Linked DNA regions of Mus musculus: all the other regions are reported to be linked to region 3. The links are microRNA targets in miRTarBase. Many come from high-throughput screens and were not tested one by one. Region 3 holds a microRNA gene; each other region holds the end of a gene's coding sequence.
What was found. The annotated mature microRNA mmu-miR-24-3p reads UGGCUCAGUUCAGCAGGAACAG and lies in region 3 at 1,502-1,523, shown strand. An mRNA with a match to its seed (bases 2 to 7 or 8) in the 3' UTR can be bound and repressed. Matches are read on the target gene's strand: a 7mer-m8 pairs with bases 2 to 8, a 7mer-A1 pairs with bases 2 to 7 and ends in A, and an 8mer does both.

Region 1 (4,066 bases), not on the chromosome of region 3:
CAGATCCCGTGAGTTTAAATAATCTGTACATAATTGCTATGTGGTATTGTTTAAGGGGATGTGGTAAGAAAATAGTACATATTTAGTGCAGACAGTTCTTCCGAACATTTGGTCCACAGATCAGAGCCCATAGATGGGGAGGAGTCACGGTGATGAGAAAGTGGGAGGAGATGAACTAGGTCGCTAGCCTAGATTAGCAGGCATCGGAGGACTGTGATTAAAAGAACCCGTGAAGAGACTTGAGCTAAGCCTGCTGATAGTTTAACCCCGTTCTCCTGTTTGCAGATGAGGTTGGTGGTGGTTCCTGCATCCTGCTCATCTTGCTGTGCATAGCCACTGTCTTCCTCAGTGTTGGAGGAACTGCACTCTACTGCACCCTGGGCAACATTGAGTCACCTGTTTGCACGGACTTTGCCGACAACGTGGACTTCTATTACACTAAGCTGCTGCAGGGGGTGGCAGGGCTGAAACACTGGGTCTACCTCTCCTAGCAGTAAGCGTGGCAGGCGTGACAGACGGCTGACAGACAAAGAAGATGCAGACTTCCCCGACAGCGTTTATCTCAGAAGTCATGAGACATCCCTGCTCCCTGGCATCAAGGACCCAAGGATGAACGTTAGAAACAGCAACATTAAACAGCAGCCCAGGGAACACAGATGTAGGCACCGAGGACAGAGAGAGGGAGCTATGGCGAGCAGGCCCCTCTCCTTGCTGCTTCCCCGTGTCATGTGGGGCTCACACTGAGGGCTAAAGGGCACTCCTGGTTTACAGTCTTGCTCCACAGCCATTGCTTCCCACCATCATGCAATAAGTTTCTTTGTCATCAGAGAGCATTATCTTATGGCTTCAGTGCCATTTTTTAGTTAATCTCGGGAACTGTGTGATTTAAGCCTTGGGCATTACTCTAGATTCTGGTCTCCATTTGCAAAATGGTTGTGGGGGGCGGAGGCAGGGGTGGTCTGAAGCAGTGATCACAAGTGGATAGCCAGCATAGAATACAAAGATGACCTTTATTCTTTTAACTTGACGACAATGTGCAGGCACAACTCTTTGGAGAAGGCTTACCTGTGAACTAGATAAACTGTAGAGATGTTGGCCCCGAGTTGAGAACTGACAGACCTGTGTCGATGAACTTGACAGGCCCAAAGGCACAGGGACAGAACTCCCAGGTCCCAGGTGAGAGTTCACTCTGGCTTCTATGCTGCCTCAAGAGATGAGTGCCGGGCTCTGTGCGCAGCTCAAGAGAAACTTACTGAGTGTCTGTTATGTCCTGAGAGCCTCAGGAGAGCATCCTGAGTAAGGAGTGGTTGCCACTGTGCAGGTGTTTAGGGCAGGTAAACCCATACTCTGACGAATGAAGCAGACTACCACGTGTATGCGTACTCTCAGGCCGTGCGCTTAGGTGTATGGAATGTGTTCCTCTCGTGGGCTCATTCTAGAATGCTTCATGGGCTCATGAAGCAGAAATCCAGTCATACCCTAAAGAGACAAATGTCTAGTGTTGTTTAATTCTGTCACCAGGTGGCCATTCCTCATTTGCGGTACAGTGATCTAATGTTTAGGAGGCCTTCCTTTGACTTTTTATATTCGAGGCAACATCTTTTTTTAAAAATCATGAATTATAGTTTTTTAGCAAGTGACCGTTATGTTCTGTTTTCCTGTCGGGATCGTTTGGAAGGAAGGAGAAAACTGGCTTTGCAGGTGTTACTGGCTGGCACAGTACCTTCCTTTGTGTCTCTGCTTATTTATTTGGAGTGTGAACTTAAGGAGCTTTTTTATGAATTGAGCGTGCGCTGCTGAGCCTGCATTCCTTCATCCCACCGCTGCCTATTTAATTAGATGCTTAGTGTTTGGATTTTATACCATTTCAGCTCCGTGTATTTTTAGACTTATTTTGAAATTGACTTTTTATTTTCACTTATAATACTGCGTGGCTTATCTCTTATGTCACCATAAACTGTAATATTTTCGATGGGTATAGATCAGAGTTATTTATTTAGAAGTATACAGAATGCTGAAATTTAGATTCGTTATACCTAAGGCTGATTTTATTAGAAGATTATTTTAATGTCCTACTATAAACTTTAAGACTTTGTATTCATATCATATGTAACATAGGTCCCATCATCCTGGAACAGTGGTTCTATAGGAGCCACGAGCGAGGTCATCTGTGCAGGCTCCTCTCGATACACAGACATTTCACCCTCATGATTTCTAGCTGCGGGGATTTGATGATCTTTGTTTCTGCCAATTTTATGTCAAGAAAAGTTCAAATCTCCCTCCTGTTCACCTCTTTTCGGTCACTCAGAGTCCCGTGTGATCTCTGATGTTGTATTTGCCTCTCAGCCACCTTGGCCACATTTCCAAAACCCTGGGTTTCCTGGGAGAATCCAGTAAAAGAAAGGGCTGAAATGATACCTGGCTAACCAGTGACCCAGTTGTGTATCCAAGGAGCCGGTGCTCACCACTCGGGGAACCAGAGTGATCGGGAGCAGACTGACCTCGTGACCTAAAGTGGGTGTGAACTCTCACCTAGAAAACCTAGGGTACCTTTGAAACCTGTAATGGTCATTTATTGCATGAATTGGAGTATCCCCCTGCAGGTGAGAGGATGCTATCCTACGTACAAGCATCAGACAACTATGCTGAAATGTCACTCCTCCTCTCATTTGAAAGTACTGACAACTATTTATACCTAGAGTTCTGAAGAACTGTATTTGAGGGTGTCAAATCAAGCTTGTAATTTAAAATCTACACCAACAAAATGTCTCCGAGAATTTATTTGAACCCTTTGGGTGTTGGGGGACGTGCTTGAAAGCAAACTATAATGCCAGAGGTCGGGCCAGTCCCTGAAGGAGATGCCAGCTATTTGGAGCAAGTCTTTTTTTTTTTTAATTACATTCACATATTTTGGGGAGGGACCACAATTGTGCCACAGTGTCCATGTGGAGGTCAGAAGAACACTTAACGGAGTCGCTTCTCTCCTTCCACCATTAGGGTCCAGAGGCTCAAACTCAGGTCATGCGCTTGAGAGCAAGCGCTTTCTCCCACTGAGCCATCTTATCACCTCTATTTTGAGGACATCGTAACGTCCCTAAGTAACAGTTCTCAGCTTTTAAAATACCTCTCTGCCTGACTAGTAACCAGGCTCCACTCTCAAGTGCTGCATCCTTTTAGACTTGAAAATCAAGTCCAGAGTCTGATTTTATCAGTCTGTGAATTGGGGTGTGAGAGGTGCTGAGGAGCTGAAGTTTGAAGGTCAGGCTTATTTTGCAAGGGCAGATGTGATTTGGGTCTCCTGAATGGCAGGACAACATAGCCTAAGGGGAGCAGTGAGGAAGGACTGGGTGGGGCCAGGGTGGGGCGGTGGGTGTTGAACAGAGGGAAAATGGAGACCAAAGAAGCCTTCGGCTGGTGACCTCCTTTCCTGACACTGGCCTTTGTGACACTCACTCCCCATACATAGGCGGGTTATTTTTCATTATTAGCATCTATTAATACTGGGTTTCATTATGACACTTGCATACGTGTAGATAATGCATTTTGAGCATCTTCATTACCTGGTACACTCTTGTTCCCCTCCGTCCCTGCTCATCCCCTTCGAGAGGCTGGGTTCTTCATCCTACTGCTAGCAGGCAGACCTCTGTAAGCTCTCATTGCTTTGGGCACAGTTGATCTTGTGTGGCGTTTGTAGTATTTTGACATTGATGCATTCTGTGTCTGAATAAGCACATGTACATCTCTAAGCCACAGGTTTGGTGATGCTCGGCTCCACTACACTTCTGTTTCCCTCACATGACCTGCACCTGCAGAGACTGTACGAGTGCCTCTGGGGCTTTTGGACTTTAATAGCAATGTAGTAAGCTGGGCGTGGCTTTGTGTCTGGTGCTGAGCAGCTCGTGTTTGCTGCCTTCTGCCCCCTTACACACATCAGATTGCCAGCCCTGTAAGCACAGTGAGAGGGCTGGGGGCCCCACTCGGCTTAAAGAGCTTGCGTCTGATAAGGGAATGTATTTGTAAAGAAGGAACCAAAAAGAAACTAGGTAACAACGTGCTACCTAGAGGA
Region 2 (4,066 bases), not on the chromosome of region 3:
AAGGTAACTCTGACCCAAATCAAAGCTGACAGTGCTTCTGAAGGCAACCTGTCAAAGGCAAAACTTGGGGTGACTTGACTTGTTTGTCCCCAGTAGCTGCTTTGAAATTATCAGCCAAAGTCCCTTTAGTAACTGAGGCGTAGGTAGGTGAGAGCTGGCAGTCCTACCTCCTCCTGAACTGTCCCAGGAGACCTGGCTCAGCTCTATCATGAAGTAATTGTGTGGCCTTTGACAACTGCTGCCCAATGACTGTCACTGTGGTCATTTGTGAAATGGTTGGCATGGCTCCTTCTGTTAGGGAGTGGTGATGGAGCTCCCTCTCCTGGAACACACACACACAAATGGGGACCTCCCTGATGTATTATGGGAGCCTTTATCTGCGGATGGGTTGTGGGGTTGAGGTTCAGGATGGTCTTCCAATCATAGGGACCCCACCAATAACCATCCTGTCCCTTTCTTTCCTTCTGCAGGACTGGCACCAACTCCTCTGGAGAAGCTGTGCCCCTGGGGAACCAGAGCCCGCCCAACGACTCTCTGACGCAGTTTGTACAGCAGCCCGACGTGATATATTTCATTCTCTTCCTCTGGCTCCTCGTTTACTGCTTACTGCTCTTCCCACAGCTTGATGTCAGCCGGCTCTGAAACATGTGTCTGGAGAATAAAAAGACAGGACCCTGGCCAGGGCGGAGTCTTTCTACCGCATCTTACTGTCTGTTCAGGGTTGAGCCACCTGTGCAGAGATGGAAGACGGCAGAGGGAGCACAGGCCCCACACCCCCTGTTGCTGTCCGGTTCAGTCTTTGCTCACATGTCCTCTGATTCTCTAAGCCCCCCTCCCAGCCCCCCCCCCCCCCCGAGAGCATGCTTTCTTTCCAGACTGTGTGCTCCCAGCTCAGGTTTGAGGCTGGATCTGTGGACGCGATTCCTCCTTATGTGCCTTGTTTGGTCAGATGCGAGTCCTTACTAATGTGTACCCCAAACCTGGGTCTTAACATGTGCACATGCAGGTTCCTAAGGTCCTGGAGGAGCTTGAGTTACTTCCTTTTATCTCAGGGGAGGGCCTGCCCAACTCTGAGAAAGAGCGGAGTCTGTGGTAGGAAGAACGGTACCCTGTTTGCCTTCAAGTGTGAGTGTTTGAGCGATAACCTGCCCCAGCCTGGTCATCCATTGCTGGGGACTTAAACAGCACATACCTGCCCGTTCACTGGAAATTACACCCGGCCATTGGCAGACTCCAAAGAAGAGGGTGTTTCTGCCAGGTTTGTTGTGAGCTACAACCCATTCGTCTTTCACCTTGGTGTTCTTGGAGGGTTGCGTTTTTAATTCGCCTTTTTATTGATTGAATTGAGGTACGGCTCTAGTTTTAAAACCTGCCCATCAGTAGGACCTCCTATCAGATGAAAGCCAGTCTAGATTTGCATGCAAAGCAAGGCTCTGGCTGACTGGGGTAGCCCTGACTCTCCCTTCCTCTGCTGAGTCTTCTGTATGGAACCTGTCTTTTTTGAGGGGCTGCATGAGGTTGCCCCAGGGGGCTGGAAGTGGCCCAGCCAAAATAAGCTCCCACAAATGGTGGCGCTGGGAGGGTTTCTGCAGGTTTCTGGGCTCAGGAGGCATTCGTACCTTGGCACCAGCATCCTTTGCGGTCAACCAAACAGAGATCTTGCAAAGGCTTTCTGGAAAGGACCAGGGTATAGGCTGGGGCAGGCAGGTTGCAGGAAGAGAAAGGTTTCTTTTCTCACCCTCCTGTCTTCCTCGGCCCCTACCTACCCCAGTGTCCCCTGTCCACTTTGCGAAGGCTCAAGTCTGGCAAAGCTCCAGCTTCTTCTTGCCCTTGCTATCCCTCTCAAAAAGCACACACTAGCAGGGCGTGGTGACGCACGCCTTTAATCCCAGCACCCAGGAGGCAGAGACAGGCAGATTTCTGAGTTCGAGGCCAGCCTGGTCTATAAAGTGAGTTCCAGGACAGTCAGGGCTACACAGAGAAACCCTGTCTCGAACCCCCCCCCCAAAAAAAACACACTAGGCAGCCCTTATAAAACCACAAACCGTTAGTCCAGAATGGGCCTCAGGGAGCATCTCTGAACTCAGAGAGGCAGAACAGGCTGGCCAAGGTCACACAGCCTATCACAGACTGGTCACTAGCCCCCAGGCCACTTGGCCCCCGAGTCTGGAACTATTGCTTTTTCTTTGTAGAAAACGTCCAGCCAGGTACACAAATGTCCTCACTCAAACACAGCCGTCCTTTTTAGACCTTTTATTAACCTCCAAGCTTAGCCTGGGCTCCTTCTAGAATGTTCTTGACGGCTGTAAAGGCTTATGTGTTGGTTACTACTCTTGTTGCTGTGACAAAGCAACTGAGAAAACAACTTAAGAAGAAAGGAGAGGGTCTAGGGGCTCACAGCTCCAGGATGCGATCCATCATACAGCGGGCATCGTGGCAGCAGGAATGTGAGGGGGCTAGTCATGTTGTATCGGGAGGCAGAGGAAGGGGAAGGGGGGAAAGAGTGTGTGTTAGTTCAGGTTGGGACCCCCAGTCCAGGGGATGGTGCTGCCCACATTCAGGGCAAGCCTTGCCTCTTTCTGGAAAGACCCTCAGAGTCACTTCCAGAGGTGTGTTTCCATGGATACAATGGGAATGAGGCATCACATCTTGCATCTGACATGAACGCTGCTCTTCACCCAGGAGTCATTCTCCTTAAGCAAACCAACGACTCAGACAATTTACATAGCACATTGAGTCAGGACAGTTAAAAACTTGGCTTCTCAGCCATTTTGATTGGCGTCTGCCTCCCCCTCCCCCCAAAAAAGAATTGAAGCTTTCTAAGAGGAGAGAGGTTGGGGGCTTGGAACACTTCCAGGTTAAAGGCCCAAAGCTCCAAAGAAAGTGAACGACTTAATGAGCTCCCTGGTCCCATTGGAAGTTCAAAAGTACAGATGATAAAGGTTTTATGTGTGATGTTTTATGACCTCGCACACTGCAGGGTCCTTGCCCAGATGAGGTACCAAAGAGGAGCTGGCCCAGATGTGAATCGTTTATTTTATGGGTCTAGACCTTGGTCCGAAGTCTGCGCATACTGCTTCTCTCGCCTCCTGTGGCTTAGAACAGCCTTTAAAACTACTACAGGCAAGATGCCCAAGCATCATTCGGCTCAAACTGGCAGGAAGTTGCTAGTTGAAAGGGAAAAATAATCTCACTTGAGTGTAGGGGCATGTAGAAGAGACCACTTATGGAAAGCTGCTGGCAAGCTGTTGGTCACTCGACATCTTTTAAAAAATTTATTTTTAAAGAGTGAGTGAATGTGTGTGTGTGTGTGCGCGCGCGCGCGCATGAATGCAGGTACCCATGGAGGCCCTAAGAAGGCATCAGATCCCCTCTGTGGGTATGAAGAACTGAATCAGGGTCCAGTGCAAGAGCATCATGTGCGCTTAACTACTGAATCACGTCTCCAGCCTTGCTTAGTTAGCATCTATTAAATAAGAAAGTGCTGTAGGTTTGAAACAAGGGCAGCTGCCCCTGAGGCTCATTTGTGGTCATAGTCCCTTTTGTCTACCTTTCAGCTGTTTCTCCTACTATTCCCTTCTGTGTCCTCTCTTCCTCTTCCTTCTGTGTCCTCTCTTCCTCTTCCTTCTGTGTCCCCCCCCCCTCTGTCTGTTTTTCACCAACTTTTCGAGAAATGGAATGTGAGAAATAAAAAGCTTTAGTTTTGTTTTGTTTTGTTTTGTTTTGTTTTGTTCCATGACTTAACATGTCTGTCTCCTGCCCTACTGTGTGGCTGGGTGTAGCTCCGCAGGTGGCAACATAGCCCTTGCTGCTGCTTTCCAGTGGCAGACTTAAGATTCCGATGCCGTTTCTGCCCCATGCCTTTGTACAAGACAAGGACTCTCCCTTCCCTGGTTGACATCCCCAGTCTCCTTTCTCTTGGTGGCCTGACCTGAGTGTGTCCTGTCCTTTGCTGTGGCACCTATTCTGGGTCCTCATGGGAAACTCCTTAAATCCTCTTACAATTTCTTTCTTTCTGAGCCCCTGGCTGCCCCAGTATGGGGCCTCCCTGGCTTGTCTTCTAACG
Region 3 (4,066 bases):
GGGCATTGGGCTCCATAGCAGCTCTGCTCACTTGCTGGATCAGCTTGCTGGCCCCTGAAAACTTTAACTGGCACGCAGGACACTACTCTACATTGGGTAGGCCCCAAATTTTGTGGCTTGCCCTGGTACTGGGTGCTAAATACCTTCTCTGTAAGTTTTCACTGGCCTTCCTAGTAGAAGGTTTGGGGTTTTGTTGTTTTATTTTTGTTTTTCTTCTATTTAAGACTAGGGTCTCAAACTGTAGCCCAGTTAGGCCTAAAACTCATCATGTAGCTTAAGCAGGCTTTTGACTCCATTCTTGGCAACCTTCCTGCCTCAGTTTCCTCAATGCTGAGATAAACGTGAGCCACCAACTGCAACTGTTGTAGTCTGCTTTACAGATGGGGAAACTGAGGCTTGGAAGGCCTAGGGGAAACTTTACTGAGGTGTTATTGTTGGGGTGCATCGGCCTGCTTCTCCTTGCTTGGGCCCTAGGTGGTGTGGGGTGGGGGTGGGGTTATGTCTGAGCTGGCTGGGGAGGAGAGGGCTGAGGTGGGAGGCCCTGGAGTTTCCTCCTGCCCTTCAGGCTTCTAGGAAGTGGCGCCAGCTGGGGTGAGGTCACTTCCTCCCTCCAACCGTCCACCTCCCTCAGCTTCCTCTCCATGGCCCCATTTGGCCTGCTTTGGGCTCAGGGCTGTGGGTGGGGATAGAAGCAGAGTGGGAAGCAGCTGGGAAGGCTCTGCAGCCCCTTTGGCCTTAGGGCTTCAGGCACCTCCCGCTTTGTAGGGCTGGGGTAGAGGCACTGCTGGGTGCCCAGCATCCAGCAGCCTCGCTCCAACCTTCCTACGGATCGATGCTCCTCTTTTTTGGGAATGCTTCTTCCCTCTTGGAAGTAGAGGAGGGCTAGGGTGTGGATCAGCAAGCTGAGTTTAGATTCTGTCCCCAGCACCACTTAAACTGTGTGTGGTGAGGTGTACCTATAATCCTAGACTCCAGAGGTAGAGGCAGGAAGAACTGGTGCATTCGGAAACCTTGTGTTCAGCTATGTGAGACCCAGCCTGGTCAAGATAGGCAGGCAAGCAAGAATGCTCCAATCTCACTGTCTCTTCTTTCTCTCTTTAGGTGCTACACTCCGCTCCCACCTGCTGCCCCCCTCACTGTGCCTCGGACGGCTGGGGTTCCTGGGGATGGGATTTGATGCCAGTCACAAATCACATTGCCAGGGATTTCCAACTGACCCTGTGCTCTGCCTTGGGGGCTCCTGTCGCCAAGGATGTCTGTCTTGGGTACTGGGTAACAGAGAAGCCTATCATGACAACTGGCCTGAGGAGCAGGGCTTAGCTGCTTGTGAGCAAGGTCCACAGCAAAGTCGTGTTCACAGTGGCTAAGTTCCGCCCCCTGGACCCCATCTCCTCAGGCCGCTGCTGCCCACCCTGCTCTGCCTCCTGGCTGGCAGGGCTCTGCCTCTCTCCGGGCTCCGCCTCCCGTGCCTACTGAGCTGAAACAGTTGATTCCAGTGCACTGGCTCAGTTCAGCAGGAACAGGAGTCCAGCCCCCTAGGAGCTGGCAACCCTGCAGAATGTCTGCCGTGAGCAAGACCTGGAAACAATGGGGTAATTAGTCCAACCTAAGCCCCGTTGTCTGCTGGAGGCTCAGCCTCTAAGCCTGCATCTGGGTGTCCACCTTGAGATTTCTGTGGTTCCCCAAAGCAGATAGATGGGCGGGTAACCCTTGCATTAAAAGCCAGTTATGTCCCCTCAGGGCCTGGAAGCCCTTCTTTTCCTAAGTCTGGTGGGGCTCAGGCACCACCCCTTATACATACCATCTTTGAAGTCAGTTACCCAAGAGGAAGCTGCTTTAGGCCCTCTAACGGTTAAATGCCAACTCTCTGCTTCCGGAAGAAGGCACTGACCTGATCCAGTGTGCCTAGCAATCCCATGGGGTCTGCAGCTTTCTGCTGGTGACAGCGAGGCAGGGAGCGAGGTCCACACAGGCCTCAGGATATGAACAGATCCATGCCCCCCCCCCCCATTGGCCTGTTGAAGTAATCTCCAGGCTTGGAAGTTAAAAAGTTGCCTACTACCCACAAATGAGACTGCATGCAGACTAATTGGAACTGGCTGAGTTACACTTCCCAGACCATACAGTGTCCTCTCCCTACTCTGGGCAGGGGCAAATCGAAGCCTGGGTGGAAGAACAGAGTTGAAAGCTTGTATTGAATGTTGTTCTCCAACTAAATAAAAGCTCCACAGCCTCATTCCGTAAGGGCTGACGTCTCTTCATTCCCGCCTCCCACATGTGTGTTGCTGGCTTTTTTCATTTCTCTTGAAACAGCATTTCTGTGTAGACCAGGCTGACCTTGAATCAAACTCCTCCAGTGTCTGGAGTTTGGGAATACCAGCTGCACCACTATATCTACCACACCCTGGGCTCCTAACCTGCATTGCACCTATCCCCAACCTTGCTCCACCTGCTTCTAGGAAGGTGTAAATATAGTTCTGTGGTCAGTAGGTGCTGCGACCTGAAGATCCTGGGATCCTTTGGGGATGGCTTGAACGGGAGGGATAACCCAGACCTGGGGTGTATGAGACCAATCTGTGGTCACCCCAGTTCCATGAGGGAGTATGTTACAAGAATGTACTCTGCCTATGCTGGGATGCACTGACTGGCAAGATGCCAGGGCTTAAGGACGGGCACATATGCGCGCACAGACAGACACGCGCGCATGCACACACACACACACACACACACACACAGGGCTTAAGGACGGGCACATATGCGAGCACAGACAGACACGCGCGCATGCACACACACACGCACGCGCGCGCGCCCGTCTACACACACACACACACACACACACACACACACACACACGCACGCACGCACGCACGCGCGCGCGCCCGTCTGCGCCAGAAGGGCTAAGGGGCGGATCGCCTCTGATCGGCTCCCTGGAGCAAAGGAACGCACCATGAACTATGGCCACACTCATAGTCACAGCCAGCTCCCATAGTGCCCCACAGAGGCAACACACACACACACACAGCTTCCAAGAGAACGGTCCTAAACAATGACCCTGTCAGACACAGCTAAGGACATAAAGAACCGGAGAATGAGAAGAATGCCCAGGCCGTCCGCTGGATGAATCCATCTAAGAACGGGAGTCTCATCCACAGCCCAAAAATGCAATGGGCAGGTCACTGGGGACACAGGCGTCCCCAGCTGCCCTCCGCACCTGGTGAGACCTCCGGAGCTCCGAATGACGTTGTCTGGAGCCAGACGCCCCCTGGTGGTCATTTCCTGCAATGAAGGACAGTGCAATCTGGGTGCATTTTCCAAAAACCTACAGACTCTAGGTTTGGGCGTTTTAAGCCTCCTGACTTGCAGAGATTATGACATGCAGATGGAAAAGCAGTAAAGCCACCAGCAAGAGGTGGCTCTTCGTGTCACCACGATGCCATGAAGAAACCAGCAGCCTCTCCTGTCCCATTCAAGTTGTGCCCAAAAACCGAGATGGAAAATTTTTTGGTTAATTGAGCAGGTGGTAGGTACCCCTGGCCCCGGGTGTTTGTGTTAGCAATGCAACCCAGTCTTGAAGTTAAAAAGAAGTTGTGTTCAATCTTTTTTTTAAAAAAAAAGGAAAAAAAAAGGAAAAGAATACAGTATGGGGTTCAATAAATAAGAAAAAAAGTTACAAAATGATGCCAACTTTTTCCTTAATATACAAGAGAGAAGACAGGTGCGTCTGGGGTGGAGGCTCTCCCTTCTCTTCCTCCCTGGGCCAAGGCCTGGGATACAGGAAGGCCTGTCAGCAGCTGGGACTTGAGAGAGATGCAGACATGGGGAAACTAAGGGAGTGGGGAAACAAATGGAGGTGCAGAGCAAGAGGAAGACAGAACGGGGTCCCTGGCTGTCTGCCTGTGCCTCCCACAACAGGCTGGAGGGCAGCCTGACTCCTGAGTTGTGTATCCAGTTACTAGTGGTGGGGTCTGGCCAGCAGAGAGCTGTCCCCAGCCTACCCTGTGACCTTGGTGCCCAAGAGAAGACAGGCCCTGGCTTGACAAGGGTATTTGGGGGTGAGGTATGTGGC
Region 4 (4,066 bases), not on the chromosome of region 3:
TTCTAGCAGCATAGGCTGAGCTGCCTGACATGCAGAACCACCCAGCAGCAGCACCTTTCCACGAAGTGAAGTGCGTAAAGCTGACAGATCATGTGCTTGTCGCCATTCCCATCTGGGATCTGCGGCAAGCAGGTTCTAACAGGGTCTTTCGAGTTTTCAGCTGGTTGATAGGCCACCTGCTCTTCCCCAAGTCAGCTAAGAATCACCATCTTTAGGGAACCCAAGCAGAGGACAGTGGGGCAGAGCACAACATGCACTGGGCTTGGGAAGGTCCTGCTGTTGAAGCAGGTAGCAGCAGGCACCCCACAGTCCCTTGGAGGGGACTGGCCCTGTCAGCTTGCCAGCTCTCACAGCCCCTTTCTGCCTTCCTTTAGGTTCTAAACAAACACCACACATCTAGTTTTCTTCGAGGCCCACACCTGCAGTCACACCACAAAGGACCCCTCAGAGTCTCTCCTCAATTGCCTTTCATACATCACTGGCTGCATCTACATCCAAGGGCAAAGTAAGACACCAAATCAGATGTTAGCTGAAGCAACTGGTATAGAAAACAATACAGAATTCAAGTACTGAGACAGCCGGGCAGACAGGCAGCACCTCCAAGCTCACACTATCAGCCCTGTCTCTGGTCCCTTGCCCCAGACCTGCTGTATTCGTCCCAGCTGCCTCAGGGACTATTGTCTGCTCTGGGAGGACATAAGACTCATGGCTGGATCCAGCTCTGTCCCAGTAGCTCCAACCCTATCCAGTCCCGACTGTCGTCCTGGCAAAGATGCTGATGTAGCAATAGTTTCTACAATAGACTCTACATAGTATGTGCATATTGCTAGTAGTCAAGCTAGGAACAGAGGTGTAGACATCTGACAAATGCTGAGAGGCTCTCACCTATAGGGTCTGGACAAGTCAGGGTCACGTGACAGGACAAGACAGCCCCGATTCTGGAATTAGTCATCTTGTAAACAAAGGAGGGAGTCTGGTTTTTTAAATTGGTTTTCCTTGAAAAAAATAATCAAAAGATGCTAAGGCACTCTGGAAGGCCCCTCGGAGCCCAGGCCTGCCACCCGCCTGCCTCGCAGTACATTCAGGATGCAGAGGGAGTGCCCCTCCCCTAAGCAGGTACAGTCATTGGCCATGCATGTCTGCAAACGATCCCCACAACGTCCACAATGGGACACATTAGTGCAAAACGCTCTGTCTGGCCCACCCGGGGCACAGGGAGAGCTCAGAATCCATTCACATTTAATATTATTGAAGTTTTACCTATAGCTCTTGCCTTCCTTACCCAGAACAAAACAGATGGCAATTATAAACACTAAGGGACAGAGGTTGAGGACATTGTGCTAGCCCGAGCAGTGGTCAGGCATTCTGTGCGGCCACTGTTCCTCTAATGGCCAGCGGCACCCTCCCTATGCTGGCCCAGGGTGGGACCATGCTCATCTTGGAGTGGAGGGATGAGAAAGAGCCCTTCTACCACCAACCAAAATAGGTGGGTTTGTCTCCCAAAGGTCCCCAAGGATGGTCAAATTAAAGTGCAAATTTGGGTGGAGGAAGCAGATGAAGGGATATTCCAGAGCGGAAGGGCACAGCCCTGCCCCCAATCCTGCCGTACCCTCTACAGTTCTATGGTCTTCACCCAGCACCAGGAGGGTTTGGTCCAAGTCACTAAAGGGCTGGCTGGGGCTCCAACCTACCTAGGAGTAAGATGGAAATGGGAGAGGTGAGAGGTCCATCTCTGGGCAGCTAGTTCCTGAGCTGGATATTAGCTAGCCTCTGAACCGGCCCTAGGAATGCAGGCCTTGGGTTACCAAGGAGCAGGGGGAGGGGCTCAGCTCAGTTCCCACAGTGCCTGCCATGATGCCCCTTTCCCTCTCCACACCACAGGTCTTCCAAAAGAGGGGAGGGGGAAGATAGGACTATACATGAATTGACGTGTATAGTCAGCACAGTATGGGGTCTCCCTGTGAGGCCCCCAAGACAGGGAATTGCCTGCAAAAAGGAGGCTGTGACACAGAGGGAGTCTAAACTGCACCTCAGGCCTCCTACCCTCCAATGGGGAAAAGACTGCTCTGACTGTGGGCACACAGTGGGGGGTTCATAGGGCAGCAAACTCAAGATGCATAGAGGGATAGGGACGAGACCTTTCAAGTTTGTTATAGTCGGTGTCCTTGGGCACCTCAGCAGCTGCTAGGTTTTGCAGGTGGGCAGGCAGTCCTCAGACAAGAGTCCAAGAGGAGACACTTGGGAAAGTAGCCTCGGGAGCATATCCCACACTTTAAAATGATAAACCGCCAGCTTCTCACCCACCAGCAGTCCTCCACGGCCCCCACAGGTGCCGTCCTCGTGATAGTCTAAGTTTCTGGTCCCCAGTGAGGTTGATCCACACCTGCCAACTGCCCTGGCCCAGGCCTGTAGGGCCTGTGCCTTCCACTACACGGGCACCCACAGTGAGCGCTAAGCCCACCCCAGGCAGCAGTGTCCTGCTGGCCAGGTCCACAGGGGCCTAGCTTGGCTGTACACAGATAGCTATACTTTCCTGGGCCCCTCTGCCTCCAATGGGAGGCCAAGATGGGGGTTATGGACATGTATTCACCCAAATCCACAGCAGGCTGGGAACAGGGACACTAGTCTCTCGCTTTTTTTTTTTCTTTTTTTTTTTTTTTTTTTCTCTGTTCGGTCTGAAAGTTTCCAAACCACAAACAAAATAGATCTGAACTAAACAAAAACAGCAAACAAGCAAAATCCCAGAGTGGCTGGAGAGGCAGAGGGTGGTGAGGACAGCCATGGCCAGGGGCAGAGAGACCCTGGGGGGATCAGCAGGCCAGCCGCTGGGGGTCTGGGTGGAGCAGAGTGAGGACACAGGTATGGAGGGGGGAACACCTCATCTTTCCCCCACCCCCAGATGACCAGCCACAGCTACTGCAGGGCCATCACTGGTCTTCCTGCCCCCCCTCTTTCTCTTTCTCTCTCTCTGTCTCTCTCACTCATGTGTGTGTGCGTACATACTCATACACACACATGCACACACACACACACACACACACACACACACACACACACACACGCACACACACACACACACACACGCATACATACATGCACGCAGGCAGCTTCTTCGGAGGAATGAAAACAAGAGAAGTCTGGCCTCTGGGGGCCCAGCATTCCCCCCACTGTCCCAGTGGGGTCCTTATGGTTAAGAATGGAGTGTCGTGTCTGCCCCTCCAGCCCCAGGCCACTGCTGCCCCAGCTTCTGCTTTCAGAGCAGGGGAATAAGAAGGGTGGATGAGGCAGGGTCAGGGCAGGACATCAGGGACCCGGTGCCCTCTTCTGTCTCCCCAAGAAGGGAGAGAGAACACTACCACGGGAGACTGAGCTGGGGAATATCAAAAAGTTGCCCTGGGACCTTTGTCCCAGAGAGTGGCCAGCGGCCTAAATGTTTACAGTATAATGAATGCATTTGTTTCCTTCATCCATTTTAAATACAGGCAGAATAAAAATCACATTTTTGTCAGGCAGCAGTAGCAGTTCAGTAGGTAAGTGGCTTGATCACATTTGTTTGTATTAGTAACGCATGCAAGCAGCTTTAGTACTGGGTTCCTGTGAGCTGGCCTTGCCGGCCACTTACAAGGTCCCTGCATAGGTGCCCTCTGGCCTTCTTGTTGCTGTGGCCACTGGTGTCTGAGGCCTACTGGAGCTGGTGTTGCCCTGCTCAAAGGCCTGAGGGGAGCTCTGGCCATCAGCGGGCAGCTGCTCTGGGGCAGCCACCTCCTGGATAACAGAGCCACCCCCATCCACCTCCTCATTAGCCTCAAAGGCAGGGTTGGCTGAAGTGCTCAGATCGACATTCACCGCATCAGTTCTCAGAGCCACGATGGTGGCTGCATCACTTCGTCGCTCAGCATAGATGCGCTGCTCAAACACCTGTGGAGCCGCAGATGGGAACTCGGGGTCCAGAGGCAGGCTGGCGGCCGACGCACCCATGACGCTACGGTACATCTCCACACCCTCTGGAAGCATGGACTTGATCTTGGGCAGCCAGCGCTTACGGACACGGCGAGCATTGGTACAC

Region 1: the mRNA of Cnst is a reported target of mmu-miR-24-3p. Seed matches in the 3' UTR shown: 7mer-m8 at 1,797-1,803.
Region 2: miRTarBase lists Clmn as a target of mmu-miR-24-3p. Seed matches in the 3' UTR shown: 7mer-A1 at 723-729 and 7mer-m8 at 4,016-4,022.
Region 4: miRTarBase lists Nacc2 as a target of mmu-miR-24-3p. Seed matches in the 3' UTR shown: 7mer-m8 at 1,823-1,829.

What each region holds. Positions count from the first base shown.
Region 1 is chr1:179,624,714-179,628,779 of GRCm38, forward strand. It overlaps Cnst (consortin, connexin sorting protein), which reads left to right. Exons shown (of 11, transcript NM_146105.3): 11 at 286-2,760. The coding sequence ends at 491. Among named protein-coding and RNA genes, the nearest start is that of Sccpdh, 41 kb to the right of the region's middle.
Region 2 is chr12:104,768,368-104,772,433 of GRCm38, reverse strand. It overlaps Clmn (calmin), which reads left to right. Exons shown (of 14, transcript NM_053155.2): 14 at 471-4,066. The coding sequence ends at 642. Among named protein-coding and RNA genes, the nearest start is that of Dicer1, 18 kb to the right of the region's middle.
Region 3 is chr8:84,207,374-84,211,439 of GRCm38, forward strand. It overlaps Mir24-2 (microRNA 24-2), which reads left to right and starts at 1,442; the gene lies at 1,442-1,548. Zswim4 (zinc finger SWIM-type containing 4) reads right to left here. Exons shown (of 14, transcript NM_172503.3): 14 at 3,569-4,066. It overlaps Mir23a (microRNA 23a), which reads left to right and starts at 1,145; the gene lies at 1,145-1,219. It overlaps Mir27a (microRNA 27a), which reads left to right and starts at 1,299; the gene lies at 1,299-1,385. It also overlaps Mir3074-2.
Region 4 is chr2:26,056,344-26,060,409 of GRCm38, forward strand. It overlaps Nacc2 (nucleus accumbens associated 2, BEN and BTB (POZ) domain containing), which reads right to left. Exons shown (of 6, transcript NM_001037098.1): 6 at 1-4,066. The coding sequence ends at 3,619. Among named protein-coding and RNA genes, the nearest start is that of Nacc2, 34 kb to the right of the region's middle.